Astyanax mexicanus: one gene and its partners. The protein of the gene in region 1 purifies or fractionates together with the protein of each later gene. This does not show direct contact. Links are inferred from orthologs where the notes say so. Each region holds a gene or a part of one and is shown on either strand. Other genes may lie near its edges.

Region 1 (7,244 bases):
TAAAAAAAAGGAAGGATATGTTTGTTTATAACCATTTATTAGCATTGTGTTATTATTGTGTTATTACATGTTATTGCAATGTTGTTACTATTCTGTTATTAGAGTGCTATTACCACATTATAACTATAGTGTTATTACATCTTATTGTTGGGTTATTACAATGTTATAATATTATATAAAATTATATATAATGTGTATTTATTATTGTGTTAGTACGTGTTATTGCAGTGTTATTATCATTGTTTGGGTACTGTGCTATTACAATGTTATTACTATCATGTTATAATGTATGATTATGTACTTACTGTGTTGTTACTGTGTTATTACAGTGTTATTATTATTGTATTATTACATTTTAATGCTTTGTAATTACTATTCTATTATTCCAGTGCTATTACCACATTATAATTAGTGTTATTACATCTTATTGCAGGGTTATTACCATTGTTATGGTGCTGTGTTATTACCATGTTATTACTATTGTTACTACATATTTTTTCCGAAGTTATTACTATGTTATTATGAATGTTTTATTAAGATGTTCTTAGTGTTGTTACTGTGTTTTTATTGTTTTATTAATATTATGGTTTTACAGTGTTATTATTATTGTATTATTACATATTATTGCATTGTAATTACTATTCTGTTATTACAGTGCTTTTCTACATTATAACTATGGTGTTATTACATCTTTTTTGCTGGGTTATTACCATATTATTACAATTGTGTGTTTATTATTGTGTTGTTACATGTTATTGCAGTTGTTTGGGTACTGTGCAATTACCATGTTATTACAAATGTATTATTAGTGCTATGTCATCACTGTGTTGTTACTATGTTATTACTATTGTGTTAATGTACTGTACAGTCATGAGGGCTGTTTAGGCTTAAATGGCTAGAATACCCATATCGAAAATAAATATATGTACATTTATAAGTACATTTTACATAGTAGATGAAAGCCAAAATATATTTTTCATCGTTACTGCAAGAGTTTTAAAACTATTTGAAACTATTTTTTACATATGAAGAAATAAATATCCATACAGTTTTTTTCTACTATATGGGTATGAACTTTCTTATGGAAGTCTTGCCAATCCTTCTGCACAGTGGAGCTTAATTTTAGACATGACTTTGATGCACTGAAATGAGCGCAGTGCCGCAGCCTGCAGTGCTACTGCAGCATGAACCACCCCTAGAGGGAGACAGATGTGAGAGATCAAAAGTGAAGCTGAGAGGAGGAGAGGAAACACAAGGGCAGATACTTACTGAGTAATAAAGTGGACGGCACATGGGGATTTGTAAAGGGATTACTGACTGAATCAAAACTGTTCTTTGGCCTAGGGCTACATATGTGTTTATTCTGAGCTCAAAGACCTGTAAAGCCTTCTATCAATCATAAAAGCCTTCAGAATAACCATAATATGTAACATATCTCTAAGTGGTTGATGTATTGAAACAAGATTCAGGGCAATCCCTTTATTTGACATTAAAATATTTCAACATTTCAGCTTTTGTTTCCAGGTATTTATATAGCTGAATCTAATACACAGTTTAGAAGACAGCACCTTTTACTTGAACCCAACCATTTTTCTTGTGAGAAAACTGATCGGGAGATCCTTCATCATGCAGCAAGATAATAACTCAAAAACACAATGTGAAAACTACAGAGGAGTTTATTAGGGGCAATAATTGAAAGGTTTTATTCCTATTAGATGTAGACCTATTCAATATTCAGATTTAAACCCTACTGAGGATGCTTGGAAAAGCATCACAAAAGAAGAATGAAAAAGTTAGTGAAAACTGCAATGGAATATGAAGTCGTATTCAATTTTATACATTTTATGTATACAAGTTAATACAAGTTTATACAGATATACAAGTTTATATGTTCCAAAACTTTTGCTTATAAGAAAAATGTATGTGTTCAGATAAAAAGTGTTATCTTATGAACTTTGTCAGATTAGATTCAGATGTCAATTCCTGGAAATAAAAGCACATATTACTCATTACATCATTGTTTATCAAACAAATTAATGAATGAATGAGCGAGGCTAGATGATCTCCAATTAGGATTTGCCTCATTTCCATCCTAAGCTCTTAAGCAAGTCAGGCCTACTTCATACCACCCCACAAGGTCCTGCCAACTGACCTGCAGCCTGCCCAGCAGAGGCCACAGTGTGGCCTATCTCCCCAAAGACTGCACTCTATGAAGAAAGGGAGCGCAGGCCTGTAATTGGAGCTTTGGCGTGCCATTCCCCAGGGTTTACACTTGTTAAATATAACCCAGGTTGGCCAGCTAAGCAAAAGGAGCAGGCAGAAGAGCAGCAACGAATGTGGGCTTGGCAGAGCCAGCACAGCTGCTCAATCCTGGCAGTGAAATGGCAGGTTAATAATGACTCTGCAACTCTTAGCTGATGTATCAGTTGAAGCTCTGATCTCTCAGGTCCAGCCTGAGAGAAGAATAATGCTCTTTTTCAGCAGAATTTGTAATATTCTAACCCTCTGTTTACCTTATCTTATCTTAAACTTTTAATTATTAAACACAGGTAAATAACATATAAATAACTTACAATTAAAATAATCTTATTCATCAATTGTGGTCATGCTTTTCAAACTGGTCAACCAGCTTGGTCATAATGCTTGACGGTAGTAGCCTGGACAATTTAACTGGTGTTCTATCGAGTTGTGCTACCTTGTCAAACAGTGCTTCCCTAGTGTATATTTAAGATCTCGTTAAACATGGAATCAACCGGAGATCTAAACTTATAGTTACACAAGATAGCTAAGGCTAACTAGCTCTGTAAACAGAAACTGTTAGCTCCTGAGCCGAAGTGGGCGAGGCCATGAACTCACTAGTATATATAATTCAAATGCATTTAATTATCTCATTCCCTTACATTAGTATCTTGTTCCTACGCTTTATTAAGTTGTGGCCACACCTTTATCTCATTCACACGCCATAATTCTCTCAATCTCACACCTGGTCATGGTCACGACACAGCTTCACTTTGACCAACATTAACAGTGAAGTGAGCCAGCTTATCAGAATAGCTGGTTTATCTGAGCTTTATGAAAACAGACACGTTAGTCTGAAAACTGTTTAACATTTTATGGCTAAAAATTAACCTTATAAACATTTAAAACACATAATTTTTGTCTTACTTTTTTCTCAACAACACTGTCAAACAAGTTCTGCTGGCTGCTTTAACTAACTAGTTAAATAGCGAACGCTAGCTAGCTAGCCAAGCAAGCTAACTAGCTAACTAGCATAACACAGCTGCTAGCATTACACAGCTGCCTAATTAATACGAATAAACACGTAATACATAACACGTCTGTTATGTTTAGCTGCTAACTAGCTAACGCAGGTAACCGCTAGCAAAAAGATAATTATCTCATTCAAATGCCTTAATTATCTTATTCACATGCTTTAATTATCTCATTCCCATGCTTTAATTAGTCGTGGCCACCCTTTTTTTTAACATAATGTCACCTCATGAAATGTCACACAAAACAAGCGCCTAAGTGAAGAATAATAATAGAATTATAATAAACAAATAAACAAGTCTATTAGGTTTAGCTGTTAGCTGCTAACTAATGCAGCTAACCGCTAGCAAAAAAATAGTCGTGGCCATGACTTAATTATCTCATTCACATTCCTTAATTATATAATTTCCACGCTTTAGGATCTCATTAACACTCTTTAATTAGTTGTGGCCACGTATTATTTTTTTTAACATAATGTCACCTTATGAAATGTCACACATAACAAGCGCCTAAATGAATAATAATAATAATAATAATAATAATAATAATAATAATAATAATAAACAAATGAACACGTCTGTTAGGTTTAGCTGATAGATGCTAACTAATGCAGCTAACCGCTAGCAAAAACAAAAGTCGTGGCCATGACTTAATTATCTCATTCGCATTCCTTAATTATCTATCTATACTTTAGGATCTCATAACCACGCTTTAATTAGTCGTGACCACACATTATTATTATTATTATTATTATTATTATTTTTAACATTGTGTCACCTTAGGGACTCCATAGTAAAGTGTAAAGTGAGTATACAGTATTACCACAGAGAGAGAGAGAAAGAGAGAGAGAGAGCGCGCGAGAGAGAGATAGAGCGAGAGAGAGAGCGCGAGCGCGCGCGAGGGGGGAGGTAAACAAGATGGCGACAGCCTTGAAGCAGCTGCATCAATAAAAGCTGGAGCGGAGAAATTGGTTATAGTGCTGGAGTGACAACACTAACAGCGCTCAGACCGAGGAGTTTCAGGTCTTGGCTTGTTAGTGTCCGCGTGCTGAGGTGAGACCCGGGTACAGTGGCTGCTGAGCGGCGGTTAGCTTAGCCTAGTTCAGCTGGATTCACTTACAGTGAGTGGGGCTAACTGGCCGGTTAGCCTGCTGCCTTACTGAGGTATACTGACTGACTGACTGCTCATTCCGGCCGGCCGGCCTGCCTTTCCGCCGCTGATATCTGTTTAAACCGCGCTTGTTTGGCTAAATGAAACAGATAGATAGCTTAATAAGCTGTGTGTTTAATTGCTAGTGGACCTTAATTGTGTGTGGATGTGTTTTAACCGGGTTTGACAGGCGGTTTGAGGGCTGCGGGTGTCCATTCTTCGCTATGCGGCCGGGAACTCGGGTCTGTTGCTTAGCTTAGCTTAGAATAGCTTACTTTGGCTAGTTTAACCATGAAGGATTAGCTAGCTTGCTAGCTAACACAGCTATCAATGGTAACCTTTCTCATTGAGTGCTGCTTTAAATCACGTATGCTTGTTTTATATAATTTGCAGACTTTTATAACATGAACACGGAGGGTGTAATGCATTTTAAGGAGCTATTTCGCTGTAGTGAAGAAGTTACAGTTAAATATGTCTCACATTTCTGTGCGACATTCAGGTTAGCTTGCTGCTAGGTAGTAGGCTAACATAGCTGGCTAGGTTAGCTTAGCTACATCTAGCTAGCTGGCTTGTCAAACTCTAGTTATCAAAGATAGCTAATTAACTTGCTAAATATATAGCTGTCAAACTTGTGTACTTAAGATATGTTGACAGTGTTTGTAGAGGTAGCTAGCTAAGTTAACCTGGATAGATTTAGCTACTACAGCTACTGTTGCTTTTATAGTTTTATAGTGATAAATGTCTTTTTTCTTTAACCTGTAGACCTTTAACTGCTTCAACACGTCATATTTATACTTGGCTAACTAGCTAGCTAGGTTAAGTAACCTATTAAATATCTGGATTATACAGTTTAAGTATGTTTTAGCATGGTCAAGTTGACGATGGTGATGGACAATCATATTTCTTAATTTAATTATTCTGATATGTTGTAAATATTGTTATTTGTATGCTAATGGGAACCTGCACCCACGTTTTTCACTCACCTGTGCACATGTACTGTGATATGTCAATAAATATCTTGAATCTTAAATCAACCTAGCTAGTAGGGATGTGCAATATTCTGTTCTTTGCATTATGAGTATCATAACATGTTGGAACATTGACTTCTGTTACAATCTGGTGTAAATCTCCAAATCATCTGAAACATTTTAATATTAATTTAGGCTATTTGTTATCAACTTTGATTGAAAATACAGCTATCCTATACTGGTAAACCTGATTGAGTTAGTCAGGCTTTTGTTTTCCCAGCTGGGGCTACCAAAAAAAAACATAAAAGCTTTGGAACTTTGGGCAGTTTCCCAAGACAAGAAATAAGCCTAGTCGTTTACTGTAGTAGTTTTTTTTTCTCAAAGGGGAAAAAAAATCTACATTTAAAATGCTGTGTAGTCTTAAAACTAGGCATAATCCTTGTCATCATGTACTCCTAGGCTTAAACTGTATAAACCCTGTTCAGGAAACAGTTTGATCTAAAGTGGTAACACTTAATTTGAGTAAATATGGGTAATTAGGCCTAGTCCTAGACTAGACTTAATTCCTGTCTAGAAAACCTCCCCTATATTTTATGTTGACTTATTTTTATCAATAAATGATTGTGAAGCATCTTTGCTCATCTGTTAAATTATGAAAGGGGTTCAGTTGTGTTTTTCTGTTTCTGATCCTTTTATTTCCTCTGTTTCAGGTTTTTTTTTTGGATGTCCTAAGACAAGCACTGTTTGCGGTTTGCCATAGGAGGTCATCCAGAAGAAGCTATCTACAGCATCTATAGAGTACACCAAAGAAGTGCTTGCTGGACCTATAAACACAACATTGCTGTTACTGGACTGTGAAGATGTGTCTTGGCTTGAAGTATCTGCTGCTATAGAGTTCATCATCCCATCCGTCGTGCAGAAGGAATAGACTGCAGGCCCAAGGCCGGATTTCACCTCGGGAACTGGTTTACTTTGCACTGGATATGTTGTCAGAGATGAATAAGGGCCCAGTCATACCAAATGTAGGCTAATACCAGCCTTCTTGTAATTGGACAGCATCTTTTGGACACTAAAAGGTTGGTGGTGAGTGAAGTGAAGGGTTCCTGTTTGGGTTTTCTTTTTTTTTTTTTTTTCCTCTCTTCTTTTTCTTTCTTTTTTTTTTTTTTTTACTCCTCTATCTTTTATATTTTGCACTGGACCTCCCTGGCTCCTTTCCCAGTTAAAACTCTGCTGAGCCCTCTTTCTTCCCCTCCTGGCAACGACTGCCACTCATGTTTACTGTCCCTCTGTATCTGAGCCTGTTTGAAAGCAATGCTGTTGCCGCCCTCATTCAGGCATGAATCATCTCTGATGCCGATCTAGTGAGTTCCTCTTCTCTCCCTCCCCACCCTCGATCAGACTGAATTTCTGGATTCAGACCCCACCCCATACTAACTGAGTTGCACCGGGGGGATTTGTGGGAGAAAAGAGTGAAAGTAAGCAAGGGGGTCACGAGAGAAGATGAGCGTCGGCGAGCTTCAGCATCTGGACTACCTGACTGAGAATGAGCTTATGGGCATGGACACTTTTATCCACCGCATCGACTCCACCGAGGTGATCTACCAGCCACGGCGCAAGCGAGCCAAGCTGATCGGAAAGTACCTGATGGGGGACCTGCTGGGCGAGGGCTCCTACGGCAAGGTCAAGGAGATGCTGGACTCAGAGACTCTGTGCAGGAGAGCTGTGAAGATCCTCAAGAAGAAGAAGCTCAGGAGGATCCCTAATGGAGAGGCCAATGTGAAAAAGTAAGTACAACATAAGTAGTGTCATCTAAGGAAAGTTGAGTGTCTGCATTTGTTATCATGCTCTCTTTCTTTT
Region 2 (7,770 bases), on another chromosome or scaffold:
AGGAAATAAACCAGATTAACATTAACAGGGCTGTAAAGGGGGATGAGCTGTCAGGGCTGGCTAATATTTGTGTGGCTAGCTTACCTACCTAGCAGGGTTAGCTAACCTAACATTAGGTTATAGGTTTCAGTACATAAAACTGTAGGAGCCAACAGCCTCTGGCTAAAGAAACACGGACTGGTTTGCTGGTAAATTCCTGAAATTTGATCTTAAAACTAACGCTAACTTCCTAGCTAGTTAAATAATTAATTCTATAGCTTAACCAACCTGACGCTATATCTAAACGCAGTAACGTTAGGTTAGTTACCAGAGGCTTTGTTTTTCTAGCTGTTTTAAAGCTAAGGGTCTTAACATATATAAAATACGGTGCCTGTGAATGTTTAAAGTATTATTTAAAGGCTTATTTGGATGTAATCTTATGGTATATACGGTTTAGGTCTCTTTAATCAGCTCAGAACTAACAAAAAAATTACAGTTTGTGTCCTACCTCCTCTCTCTGTGAGTGTGAGTGCTGGTCAGAAAGGCGAGTCAGGCAGCTAGCGTTAATGTTTTTCAGCAGCGCTGCTCCTGTTTAAATGACATAAATCGCGACATTACTCTGCATTCTCTGAATAATCATTAGTCGATATAAAAGTACACATATCCAGGCTGAACAGGGCGAGGTGTGGTGATGAAGAGCCCTGCGGAAAGCGGGCAGCGGGGCTGTGTTTCTATTTCAGGCCCGGGTTGGATTTCGAAAGATCCGCCATTTTCAACTCGTCATCAGTTCATTTCCAGACGCGAGAAAAACAACAGCGGAGCGGCTTGGTGCGTTTTGGGTGGGATTTGGTTAGTTTTGGTGGGTTTTTAGTGGGATTATCGTGGAGGTAAAGAGTTTAAAAAGCATATTCAAACGTGCAAAAAATATATACATAAAAAAACAATTACAATAGTTTATTTGCTAGTATGCAGAGTAGGTGTGGTTAAAAAACGTTAAAACAAAAACGAAATATTGCGAAAATAGCAAAAATGTTCAGTTTATTTGCACTTTTTGTAGTTTAATAATCTATAAATAATCTGCACATTAGTATTCTTGTAGAGTTTTGTTGTTATATTACTTTATATTGTTTCATACACAATCTGGTTAAAGTCTGGGTAAGTTATTACAGACAAAAGTTTAGAGAGTTGTTTTTCTACATAATGTCTTTACATTTATAATAAGTAAAATATTTAAAAAATAATTTAACAAAAAAAAACAATGTTTGCTCATATCTGCAAGAATATCCTTACTGCAAAAATACCCTAAAGAATTGCAATGTTAAGAATCATAGGGCTGCAATGATTAGTCAATAAACTCGATAATGTTGATTTGACTACAAATGTTATTGTCGACTAATCGTTCATTTGCAACAGTGCCGTATTACACAAGTGCTGGGGACAGAAACGCAATGGGAGATGGATAAATGTCTCACTCAAACAGTTTATGCTCAACTCCAAAAGTGCCCAAACACAACAGATTACATACTTACTCACTAAGTGTCAGTATCTTTTTACATTTATACAACATTTAGACACGTAAATTCCTTTTAAATCTCATGATCAGCTGTTTTAATTGTTTTTAGAAGTGGAGGACATAGCAGAAATATTTGTTGACTAATTGAAAAAAATAATTCAGATTAGTTGAATACCATAATAATCATTCGTTGCAGACCTAAAAATTTGTGATGCACAGCATCGGTTCTGCTTAGCACTAGCTACAAAACTTATTATATTTTATCTTGATTAAAATAAGCTTGATTATTATTCAAACCATAATGCATGCTCTTATTGACACATATTTTGCCGCATGTTAGCATATTTTTAAATGCCAGGTGATTTCTTTAAAAACACCTAATGCCAGCTATTAATCTCAAAATACATTCCACCTTTCATCATTAATGCATTGAATCAATGTTATGGTTTGCAGTGAAGAAAAGTGTTGAAAAGCTCATCTGCTCAAATATTTTAAATCTTAAATTACCCCTTAAGCAATGATAAATAAATGTTATTTTAAGGTTGTTTTTTCATTGTCAACCTTAAAAGATGTAATGCAACTAAACTTGTAAGTTTATTCTGTTAAGCTACCAATACAATCAGTTTACAGCACAAATAAAAAAAATCTGATTCTTCTCAAGCTCTAACCTAGTAACATTATAGTTATTTTAATTAATTAGTTAATCAATCATAATAAAAGATCAATAAAAATAATTGCCTCGATTTCACACTATTAAGGGGTTAAAATGTTATATATTACATTAATTAAATGTAATATAGCCCTCCTGTTTCAGAAAAAACACATTAACTAGCTATAGCTAACTCACTAAATAGCTGCTGTCATTACTGTCAACTCAGCTAAGCTAAGCTAAGCTAGCTAAGCTACCAGAAAAAATGTCACAATTTCCTCCCTCAATTAGACTGTAAATTAACTGATATATACTTATATTATAATCGTATAGTCCTATAACATTAATCAGTGGTCTGCAGCTCTATTTTGAGCCACTTCTATTCAGGGTGTCAGCAGTTTTACAGCGAAGCCGCAGCTGAACAGAAAGTCCGCCCTGCTGAACCTAAACAGCGCATATCAGCTGTTAGCTCGGCGGCTAACCCGCTCCGATCCCCCCAAACCCGCAGCTCAGCACCGGGAATCTTACAGTTCTATTACGGTCGCTTCCTCGGGAATGTGGACGCTTGTCGCCGTGTTCGTGCACGGCCCAGTCCGGTCCGGTACAGCTGGGCCCCGCACCGCTTTTCTCTCGCTACGTTTCCCGAAACAGATCCGATTGTTTAAAATACCGCGCCGAGCGCCATTTCACCCCTAACATCCCATAATGAGGCTCCGCCTCCATGGGAACCCGCGTGTTACGTCTACAGGGAACGCCCGCGCGCAGGAGTTGGCTCCTTCTAGTGTCTCATCTTCCACGCTACTCCCTACGCCCTACTCCCTACAACTACCAACCATATTCTGCTCACTATTCACTACACCCTTTCTACTAACTACACAACACTTCTTCTACACTATTCCCTACTCCCATATACTGCTCACTATACACTACACCCTATCTACTAACTACACCAAATAACTACACAACACTTCTTCCAAACTACTCCCTACACCCATATACTACTCACTGTACACTACACCCTATCTACTAACTACACTAAATAACTACACAACACTTCTTCCGCACTACTTCCTACACCCATATCCTGCTTACTATACACTACACCCTATCTACTAACTACACAACACTACTTCCACACTACTCACTACACCCATTTCATTGCTTGCTTTACACTACACCTATAACTACTAACAATACCATATACATACATACATACATACTTTTTTACATTACTCCATGCACCCAGTGCCACATATACAACTGCTCCCTACACCCTAACTACTAACTACAGTATCTTCCAAACTACTCCCTACACCCATATACTGCTCACTATACACTACACCCTAACTACTAACTACACCATATACACAACATATCTTCCACACTACTCCCAACTCCCAGTGCCACATATACAACTGCTTACTACACCCTAACTTATAACTATGGCATATTCATAACCCATCTTCCACACTACTCCCTCCCTAAACCCTAACTAGTAACGACTCAGAGGACCAATCACAGCTGCTGCTGTCCGCATCGCACAGTGCACTGTTACACTTTTGGGTAGGGTCTGCATAGGGTATGGCATAGGTTTGCTACAGAAATATAAATTGGTCTTTAAGAATGTGAGGCCATCTGTACAGAAAACTACGTGAATCCTCACACAGCAGAAAGACTTCTGCATGGAGGAGTGGGAAAAACATTTCAAATTTCATTGTCAGGCAAATGGGGATATACCGCCTATTATTTGGGAGGTAAAATGAAATGTCAAAAAGCTATTTGCCATTTTAGTTAAGTTTTTTTTGGCCGGGTATGAAGTGGAATTAGTGCCAAACTGAAAAGCAAACACCAGTGTGAAAAATTGTAAAATGCAATCCAGATGTATAGGGGTCATACCTTTTTCCTCTGAAGACTTTTTTTTTATTTAGTTTATATGTTTAGTTATATTATAGGTAGTTATGAGTTATTTATGAATTTAGTATGAATGTGCATATTTGAAATTTCTGCTCCTTGTTATTAGTTTGGCAAATCTGTTGTATTGAGTTGATATGTAAGAACTAAAAAATCTAATCACTCATATATATTTGAAGAATATCGAAAATCGATTTTATTATTTTACCATATCGCCTAGTCCCTGCCACCATCGGGTAATTGATTGGAGGGCCTGGTGTTCTGTCGAGTTATGTTACCCATCGATATATGCTTCTTAAAGGTACTGCGCATGCGCTGACCTACTTTTTTACTTTTACTTTTTGATCTCGTGTTTTTTTTATATAAAAAATATATTATTTGTTTTCTTGGACTCACTGTCATTGCACAAAAGTGTGAATTAAAATTATTAATAATAATAAATACAATAATTATTTTTATTAAAAAAGCTTTCATTGCCATAACCTTAACATGATATAGTGATTTATGCTATCCAAATACATATACTAGCCAGCGACATCTACTGGGACTTCTACTGTGAACATGCTGTAATATGGTGCTTCTTTTGTATTTTTACAGTTAAATATACACGAGGGTAGCACGGTTTGACAAGATAGCACAACTCGACAGAACACCGGCCATTGGTGGTGCTGTACCCCGTGGAGAGTGCGCTGCCCTTCGGCCTGTCAGAAATCAGATCTCCGCGCTGCTGGTTGTTGTGTATTGGGGAAGATGGCGTCCGGTGTGCGGCAGGAGCTCGCCCAGCTGATGAACTCCAGCGGATCTCACAAAGACCTCGCTGGAAAGTACGGATTTCTACTGCGGCTTTTATTTATTATTCCCTTATGTGCAGATCCAGCCCAGCAGCTTTATTACAGCGGGTTTAATATAGCTAATATAGATCCAGGACGTGGCTAGAAGGTGCAGCTACATGCTAGCTAACTCGCTCATGCTAACTGTAACAGCTAACTGTAGGAGCCTGCTTATGCTTATGCTAATGCTAATCGAGGAGTTAACTAGCTAGCTACCATAGCTAAGCCGGTGAGCTTATTTTTTTTTAGAACTCCGACTTTTGTGAAAGCTAGCTTTTACAAAAAAACATATTATATAAGCTTTTAATAATCGTTATACTCGGACACTTTTTGTTTATTTTATTACAGTGTATCTGCACCTAGTTAACCACAGACCTATCTGCATGGTTGTTAGCTTGTTAGCATGCTAAGCTAAGTAGCTTTGTTGATTCTAATTCTGGCTAACGTGCAATATCTATATAGTCTATAAAGATTTTAATAAATTAATATTTGGTGCAATAACCTGTTTTTTAAATCACAGTTTTCATGCATCTTGGCATGTTCACCTCCACCAATCTTACACACTGCTTTTTGATTACTTAATGCCAGTCCTGGTGCATAAATGTGGCTTGTGATCATCCATGGATGGCTTGTGATCATTCATCTCTTGATTATATTCCAGAGGTTTTTAACTTGATAAAATCAAAGAAACTCATCATATTTAAGTGGTCTCTTGTTTTTCCCAGAGCTGTGTATATTCACTAAGTTAGTTATATAGTTAGATAGTTAGCTAGTTGCATAATTTGTATGCATCAACATTGATTCAGCATTGAAATGCCAGCTGGAAACCTCAAAGTAGCTCCGCACTTTATTGGTACAATTCTGACATTTAAAATGAGGCACTGAGAGCTTTAAAAGTGTACAGATAAACAACAGCTGATAAGCCAGTATATTGGTTTTCGGACTGCATTTTTAATGTATAATATGCATTTATTGTAGGTATCGTCAGATTCTGGATAAGGCAATACAGTTCACAGATGCAGAACAACTGGAGGCACTGAAAGCATTTGTTGAAGCCAGTAAGTATTCCAACACACATTTCATTAGAGAACACCTTGTAGCTTTAAATGGTCTTTTCACAGAAGAAGGACAAACATTCTCAGATTTAAAAAGAGTCATTTTGGAGCATTTCACTTGAAATGCAATAACACTAAACGGGAAAAAAGAGAAAAAAAAATAACAACGTGTGAAAGGGTCTGCAAACAACAGATCAAAGAGTCCAAAGGACAAAATATACTGATTAATGGTTTGGTCCATCTTCAGTGTGTAAACACTTCTAGATGGTTTCAAACGTTTGGACCAATTACTGGAAGCTGAGGCAGAACTGGTGTTGTGCTGAAATGCGTGTCATTGGCGTGCAGGCACGTCATGCAGACACATGGATGCAAACACTTTCGCTGGTGATTCCAGTATCTACTGTAACTGTAGATTAAGCTTTATTTATAAACAGAAATGAAAGCAATCCGAGGGGAATCTTTTATCTCTGCGATGGAGAGTTCAATTCTGGTAGAGAGGTAAACTTTGGCACAGCACCTGGAAAAGCAGTTCACAGAAGTAACAACATTCTACAAACTAATTAATGTGAAGTTTAGGGAGATTTACTACAAGTAGGTGATGATGACGGACCATACTTAAACTAACCGGACCATACGTATCTAATGTAACAAAAACGCAAACCTTGGTGTGGACTCTGCTCTGGATTTTCAGGTGTTAAACACCCTTAGCTGTTATTTAACCTCTGGTACACCAAGTTTATATATTTCTCGCTGTGAGATGTTTCTGTTGTCTTCTTCCTCTGCAGTGGTCAATGAAAATGTCAGTCTGGTGATATCCAGGCAGCTACTCACTGACTTTTGCACACACCTACCAAATTTACCCGACAGCACAGCTAAAGCTGTCTACCACTTTACACTGGAGAAGATTCAGCCAAGAGTTATCTCCTTTGAAGAGCAGGTGCGTTTGGACAATTATACAGTACTGTGCTCAAACATGCACACTCATGTTGTTTTCACCAATATTTATTATATAATGATTATACTTTGGTTAGCAAGAGTGCTACATTAAACCTTCCTATTTCTTTCAGGTGGCTTCAATCAGACAGCATCTAGCCACTATATATGAGAAAGAAGAGGACTGGAGAAATGCTGCACAGGTTTTAGTGGGTATACCTCTGGAGACAGGACAGAAGTAAGTCAGTCTACCTTACCTTTGAATTGATTTTTTTTTTATTCCCATGATCTGTGTGTCATTTGAAAAGCAAAACCTTAGAATTGAAGTGTTGATTAGTATAATATTGTTTAGGATAAATACAAATACATTTCTTTTTTTTACATAAAAAAATCTTACATTTACAAAAAAAATGTGTATATTAAAATAACTCCAAAGCTCTTCTCAAGATGAGAGTCTTGTATTATTTATAGACAATATCAACACATCTACACTTAGTTTGGTAAAACAGTTGAGCTACTCACAGAATTGAACACATCCACTGTGGTGCTGGTTGGGGGCATCCAGGAGAAATCTGGTAGAATCATTGTTCCTTAAAGTAGCCCACAAGATCTCTACTACTTTCTTCAAAATGAGAAATTCTTGTTACATTTTACTGAATTAAATTTTCTGTGAATCATTTAGTGGCAAGATGAACTTAAATATCGTAAAAATATAAGGGATTTCTTCTGATCACTGCTCCCATGTATTGTGCCTTGATAAAAACGTAGTCCAGTCTGAAATACTCAATATGTAAATGCAATAGTTTTATGGCATCAAGAAACCAACGAATTTAAGACAGTTCAAATACTATAGTTTGCACATAATGTGATGCTGCCTGAAAATAATAGTCTCCTGTGTGG
Region 3 (7,408 bases), on another chromosome or scaffold:
AGTAAACAGGAGGCTAAGCCACACAACAGATAAGCGAGGCAGGCTACCCTGAACTCCGCAATAAAAATGTCTTTTGTTCCGAAGCTCTAAAGCCTTACTCGCTCCGGCTGACGGCTCCGCCATGGACCAGCCGACTTACTTCCACGTTATGAGTAACAAGGACATTTTGTTCCCGGGTGGACTGTCGCTCCGGCAGATTTAGCTAGCTTGTGGTGTTTAGCGCTGGTGATGGAATCCTTTTCACACTCAGGGGGATTCAGGGGGTACAGACTAGCCCATATTCAAGCGTTGCACAATTTTACCCTGCTCCCGAAAACAGGACTAATTTTAACATTTCACCGCTAGACTGTTCTGTTCTGATAGATAGAAACTGTTCCGTTTGGGTTGTTTTTCTCTCTGATAACAGAACAAAAAAAATCACATATCCTCAGCTCCAGATTTGGGGACCCCGTGTTCTATACAGGTTTAACCATTCCCTTCCCGAGCACACCTGACAGTAGCTCAGCAAGGCTTTCATCATCTAAAATATAGTATGAATATTACATTTAATATTAATATTTATATTTTATTAAAAAAAAAAAAAAAAAAAAAAAAAAAAAAAAAATATATATATATATATATATATATATATATATATATATATATATATATATATATATATATATATATATAGTTTTGTTTTTGTGAACTGACCCCTTTTTCTGTTCGGTGTGTGTGTAAGTGTGTTTGTGGGCTATTATGAAATGGTTCTGGCAATAAATTATTTCAAGTGACAGAAAACAGTGGAAAAGCAGTGACAGCGACAGAACCCACAGACATTTACTTTATTTATTTCTTAAACGTATCATGAGGGATTCTGAGGTCGTGTTCTTGCATAGAGGAAATTAACTACCATGAGTACAACATGTACCACATGTTCCTCCCCCGCTTTTTACGTTTTTATCATTGCTATTCTGGGAAAGTTGATTCACGTTTATGTTTAAAAACACAAGCCACAAGGCTGTTTTTTCTGTCTTTTACAACCTTTAAAACCTTTTATTTCAGTTTGGATTTTTCATCTACTGTACTTCTGACCCCAACGTAAAGTGATTAAATTAGTTTAAAAGTGAAACGCTTTATAGAAAAATTTAACTAGGCTTTAATTGCTTAGTACAAGTTCATGACAAGAAAATACAGGTAGCATCCAGACTTGCAAACAGGGAATACACACACACACACACACACACACACACACATATATATATATATATATATATATATATATATATATATATATATATATATATATATATATATATATATATATATATATGAAAGATGATCCTTATCTGTCTGTATACACAGCAAAACTGAAGTCACTGTATTGTAGACAGATGGATATGCATGTAAACCACATGCATGCAGGTACTGAGATTAATAACAAAAAATAGAGCAATGCTTTTACAGGAAGCTTATGCTTATTTTTTATATTTGTTTATATAAAGTATTTATGTTTTAAGTATTTTTATGTGTTAAGTATTATTTTGTTCACATTTGTTTTAACATCATGAAGTAATGACATATTGTTACTTATTTTTGTAGCATGATGTACTACATGTAGAACTACAAAGTGTCAGTAATTAAGGGCAGAAATACAATTTTTATTTTATTAGGACACTCTCAGACACTGTCTACGAAAAGGTGAAGAGTTAAATGGGCTTTTAGATCCTAGAAAATGTGTTTGGAATGCAGTCAGGTGTCTCATTATAATTAGGTGTCTCATAAGTTAGTGCTACTGGAATTCTCAGCAGTCAACTGAAATGTACAGTATGTCATCATCCAAACAGATGGTCGTATTTGTAGGTGGTGCAGTTGCTGTATAGCCTGCTGTCAATTTTAAATATTGAGTCACATCCTGAAAACTAAACTGCTGTCATAGATTCCTTTAAATACTTCAAAGTCAGAGAAAAATAAACATAAAAATAATATTACACTATGATTTAACATAATAACAGAATAGTAGCTTTCCACAATCAGTTCCTCTCCAATTTGTTGTAGAAAGAATCATATTATAATTAAATTAAAGAAAATAAACATTAATTATAGAGGATCATTTTGTGTAAATAAAGATGATGTAAGACAGTGACCTTTACTTAAAAGTTCAAGTCAAAGAATAGCACCTGTGTAGGCCATGTTTTACACTGGGTGTGGTGTACTTTGCCTGACAGTGAAGACACCTCACTGTTCCTCATTACAATGTTTGACTCCTTTTATGAAACTGGCTGTAAGTCTTGCTCAATAACCACCATGTTCTCTTACACAGCACTGTTTTTCATGGTAAACAATCAATCAGTTAAAATCTTGGCAACAAACATGGATCTGATTAGCATGTTTAATAAAATTGACAATTGAGAAGAAAATCATTCTGAATGTTACCAGGTTAATTTGTTTTTAAAACACACACAGCAGGAGTCGGGCAAATGCTGATCTTTGGCCTCACTTGCACAGTCCTGGCAGGGTAATGTGCTGTTCTGAACCTGTGTCCTTGAATGGCTCTGAGTGTTCTTTGTTTAGTTCTTGTGTCATCCTTAATGAGCATTTTGCACACTAAGCCTTGTTAAACTGCCAACTGCGTGCTTAGGCATCAAGACTAGTCTGCATTTGATGCTGTTATCCTCAGTGATGATACGGTGCCTGCAGAAGCAAAGTGTACAGTTTCTGGCAACCTGACACTCGAAAACATGAGGCTCTGTCAAAGTGATACATTGGCATACAATATACCTTTTTATTTTCAGTGTATGAAGAAAAACAAGCTGATTCCAGACCATTCATTATATATTGGATTTGGGTTCATTTTTTATCACTGTCACGAACTTAGTAATTATTGCTTAGACTTTTTTTCACCACAATTAATATAACAGTGAGTCTTGATCTCTTGCAGGACAGTATGACTAAGAAGATCTTAAGGCAGACAGGCTTTGGATTTGAGGGTTATCAGCTGGAGGGGGAAACGTCATGTCTCCTGCTGCACTATGAGAGAACAAACATGTTGCAAATACAGGTATAACTGTGTGTTATTTAAGTTATTATAGTCAAATCAATAGCTATATAGCGGAGGAAGAGTAGTTTTATGCTTTGATAACATGAAATATGTTTACTTATTGAGCTCTGAAAAATAAATAAATGTACTTGCTCAACAGAATTAGTGGAGATTTGCAGATGGTATTTTTGTTTAGTCTAGTTGGCATGTACCAACCTATTTTGATCTACAGTGAAAATTTCACAATAGGCCTATTCACAGAAATCTGATTATTTTCTTGCAGGCCATTCCTGTTGGCACTATACACTCTGCTGCTTTTCCTTTCTTTGAGGCGAACACGAGCACTACGCTGAGGAACACAGGTGTGAGTCTTTTTACAGTCTTCTTATGTTGCCCAGCCACTCATATATATTTAATTTAACAAAGCGAAAAAGAGGCCAGACTGAGAAAGGTGTAAGGTTTAAAGAAAGAAAAACAACAACAAATAAACAAAATTATCAATAAATAAATAATAAAAAATATGTTTTTGAAAGACATAAAAAAAGCCTTTTACTAATACTATTACTGCTAGAAATTAAACTTTATCTGGCTATCTGGACTAAGCACAATGCTCGCGGTGTGTCCGTAGCGCACAGCAGGCTGCGTGAACACGCTGTTCCCTGCGGGAGTCGGCGCGTAACGGGTTACGGGTCAGGGTGTCTGAGCTAGGACACTGTGTTCTCATCACAGCGAGCTACAGTACAGCCGGAACACTGTGTTACTTTTGTGGTGGTGGAGAGTTTACAGGACCTGCCTCTCGGATTTTCGGCCACGCCCACATGTCTCGTCGCCCCTCCCCTTCCCCAGTCTACTCCATGTGGCTCTCCTGAGCGCTGTTGTGTTTTACACCCCACCCATATTCCGACAGGCCACGCCCACATTTGCTGGGATTGGTCAGTAGTCCATGCTAATAGAGGCACACACACACTGAGACACAGCTTCTAGAAGAAATGCGTGATTATTTATGTATTTTAAAGCTTAATCCTGCCAAAAAAGGGGATCAGCGTGTGCAGTCCGTCTTCTTTATTACACTGTGTTCCATTAAAGCATGAGCAGGAGTCTGGAATGGGGCACAAAGGGAGTATCGCACTTAATTTACTTAGTAAAAAGGAATGCAATGGTTGCAAAGAATAAAAAGATACATAAAAAAGAACGTGGACTGGAATAATAATAATGTGAAAAAAACACCGGCCAGTAATTTGGCCCGTTAGTGGACCGCTCGAGCGTGTGAAATACTGACCAATCCAGGCGCCGGGGGGCGTGGCTTCTCGGAATACGGGTGAGGTTAAGGTGAAAAAAAAAAAGACCCACGGCGAAACGTGCCGGTGGAACATTGAGTACTCTCGCGCCGGGAGGGCGGCGTCAGAGCAGCAGCACGCGCATCGCCGTTAAAGCGCTCGCGCTACATGTTGCACTCGTCGCCGGTAAGACTCAGCCAAAGTTACATGCGGATACACACGGAGAGACACATGAAAGGACCCGGGTACAAAAGAGAAATACTGTGAGTATTTTCCTTAATTTCATCATCCTTTAGCTGCTTCCACCACACCATCCCATCAGCTGATCATGTAAACACACAAGCTGGACTGAACTGTAATGGATAAAACGTTAGAACCATTAAATAAAAATCATATCATCATTATAAAATAAAAAGTAAAACAAAATATTACTAGTTGGTACACTTAACTGTTCTCTTTATTTAAACATAACCTATATCCATCTGTAGATGTAAACATATTAAGGCCAAAATGTATATATATATATATATATATATATATATATATATATATATATATATATATATATATATATATATATATATATATACACAGTACTAAATATCAGTCTTTTAGTTAAAATGATCTTTTATCTATCTACTTACTGCAAGAAATTCCAACATGTTATGTATATTATTGAAAATGCATTGTCATTTATGTCATCTGCTAACTTTTCAAAACAAAGAACAATTTAAACCCAACTTATGCACATAATTTTTTATGTATGACATAATTTAAAAACATGCACGAAGCTCATACATGTCCTGCTTTAAGCTGCACATACATGTACAGTTTGAGAGACTGAGGGAGACTGAGGCATCTTCTTAAACACTGATGAGAGGGAGAGAGAGAAAGAGAGTTCAAAACAACTCAGTAAACCCGTCTCTCTCTCTCTGTACAGAGGCTTATGTGGAGACACACTCTCTCACCCAGTGTCCCCATCATTAAAACTAAAGTGTTGCCTACTGTCTGGACCAAGCATTTAATTATAAGCTGTAATGTTAGAAGGATTCTGTAAATACGAGAGGCCAGATACTTTACTATGAACAAAGACTGAAATGTTACTGTTTAGCCTTGGCTTATCTGTCTTCCCAATGAAGGCCAACATTCAAGGATTTCTTTCTTAGACTTATGCAAGTGTGTGCGTATGATAATTTCCCCACTTTTTGCATGCAGGACATACCTGTTCATTTGGAACATTTTGTACAAAGCGGAGAGTAAAGTGACATCAGTGGAATGCTGTGTTTGACACGTAACAAATTGAGCCTTTTGTTTGAAGGCATATAAAGAAGAGTGATGTGTATGAAAATGGAGTGGAATGGAGAGAAGAGATCCACATGTGTGAAGAACATATGTGTCATTTTGTGTGTATCGGTGTGTATGAGGTTAAGCTGTTTTGCTGTTAAGCTGTTGTGTCTTGGTGTAGATGATGTGTTTGAGGACGAAATGAGTCAACAGCCATGTGTCTTCATCTTTGTTCGAGGAGCGTATGCTGAGAGTGAACCACACGAGTGAGAGCTGAGGTCTAATTCAATTATCTAATGAAGAATCATGTAAAGATGCAATGACCTGTATAAGACTTGCTCATGTAGGTTAACACAGATTTCCAGAAAGTAATTGGTAATTGTGCTTACAGCAGTGAGAGAAGCTATTAGGTGTGAGGAATATATATTGAAAAAATAGCCATTAGGTATATGTATATGAGAAAATGTAACCTCTAATGATATACTCTGTTATATAATACATATATTACTTAATTTATATATATTTAATTAGAATATATTGCAAATATTTAATCATTTTTTCCCAGGACCAGATACTGTAGACCTGAATTCAGCTCCTTAAATGTTAATACTGCTAATCCATTCACAGAGCAAATATTTAAATTTATATACTACATAAAAAGACAGAAGTCAATGCTAAGACTGATATTTTTTCTTTGCATATTCGCTAATCAATCACCACCACACACACTAAAAGCTATTTAAAAAAAAAAAAAAAAAAAAAAAAACCAATGCTCACTGGTTATGCAAGACCATGTGATTTTTTAATTGATGAGTGTTAATTGAAGATTTATCAGCTTAAATTTTAGGTACATAATTGAGAAGCTAACATATAATGCTGTATTCAAAATCATCATGCGTCACGTCCAGAGAGCACAGTGGCCACGTCTGAGTTAAAGCTCAGTACTTTCATATGAGTGTGTATCTTCATTTCCATGTGGTTTGAATTGTATTTTGCTGTCATTGTTATCAGTTAAACATATGTATGAATGGGGTGTTTCCACATATATCATGGTACATGTTTTTGCTTTATTTCCTCTATGTGTGTGTGCATGCGTGTGCGTCTGTGTGTGCGGATAAACATTAAGTTCTTTTGAGCAAGAGCCTTGAGTCATAGTGTGTATCTTGCAGGACTGGACTGAATGTTCTCTTCTCTGATGTGTTTTTGTTCCTACATCTCTCTGGTCAGTCCCTAGACGTAATACTCACGAGACACTCATCTTCACTCAATCTGCGGATTTAAACCGTTCAACCTAATTAGCCCCCAAACAGCATCGTGGATGGACATAATTACAGCACCAATTACGCTGCTGGCTTTTGTTTGAGTTGATAGATCATTTTAGGGCAGTGACCAGTGATCATCACTGTCCAATAAAAAACAAATATCTCTAATTTAGTTGATTTTTAGTTTACTACATCATTTAAACACACTAATCTTTTCACTGCGTCAAAATTTCTTGATGAATAGACCAATATTAATGATCCAAAGTTGCATGAAATTAACTCTTTTTGCATTGACTTCCATTGAAATTTAATAAACTGTAAAGTTGCTGTTTTAGAGATAGAGATTGTTTTTCAGTGGACAGCGACAAGATAGTCTTGGGAAATAGAAATCTGAGATCAGAGATGTCTCATGGTTTGGTGGTGTAATAGGTTAACCTCTCTCTTCTGATCGAACCTACTAGGTTGAAATGTTTCTGTGTTGCTTTACCACTCAGAAAACTCACAGCCTGAAGATAAGATCTTGTTTTACCGGAGCATGAAGAGATAAGGTTATACAGATGTATTGA

What was found.
Region 2: the proteins of stk11 (region 1) and cops4 purify together in Homo sapiens (affinity purification with mass spectrometry; 4 studies listed by BioGRID and IntAct, with this or other methods). This does not show direct contact. The link is inferred for Astyanax mexicanus from reciprocal best matches to the Homo sapiens genes STK11 and COPS4.
Region 3: the proteins of stk11 (region 1) and fkbp5 purify together in Homo sapiens (affinity purification with mass spectrometry; 8 studies listed by BioGRID and IntAct, counting the BioPlex papers as one, with this or other methods). This does not show direct contact. The link is inferred for Astyanax mexicanus from reciprocal best matches to the Homo sapiens genes STK11 and FKBP5.

What each region holds. Positions count from the first base shown.
Region 1 is NC_064411.1:47,654,030-47,661,273, forward strand, and holds the start of stk11 (serine/threonine-protein kinase STK11), read left to right. Parts: upstream 1-4,164; 5' UTR 4,165-4,322; intron 4,323-6,097; 5' UTR 6,098-6,887; coding exon 6,888-7,171; intron 7,172-7,244. UniProt on the Homo sapiens protein: Tumor suppressor serine/threonine-protein kinase that controls the activity of AMP-activated protein kinase (AMPK) family members, thereby playing a role in various processes such as cell metabolism, cell polarity, apoptosis and DNA damage response.
Region 2 is NC_064427.1:22,631,488-22,639,257, forward strand, and holds the start of cops4 (COP9 signalosome complex subunit 4), read left to right. Parts: upstream 1-4,683; 5' UTR 4,684-4,802; coding exon 4,803-4,876; intron 4,877-5,860; coding exon 5,861-5,940; intron 5,941-6,722; coding exon 6,723-6,874; intron 6,875-7,004; coding exon 7,005-7,108; intron 7,109-7,770. UniProt on the Homo sapiens protein: Component of the COP9 signalosome complex (CSN), a complex involved in various cellular and developmental processes.
Region 3 is NC_064412.1:16,106,346-16,113,753, reverse strand, and holds the start of fkbp5 (peptidyl-prolyl cis-trans isomerase FKBP5), read left to right. Parts: upstream 1-4,370; 5' UTR 4,371-4,464; coding exon 4,465-4,559; intron 4,560-7,408. UniProt on the Homo sapiens protein: Immunophilin protein with PPIase and co-chaperone activities. Component of unligated steroid receptors heterocomplexes through interaction with heat-shock protein 90 (HSP90).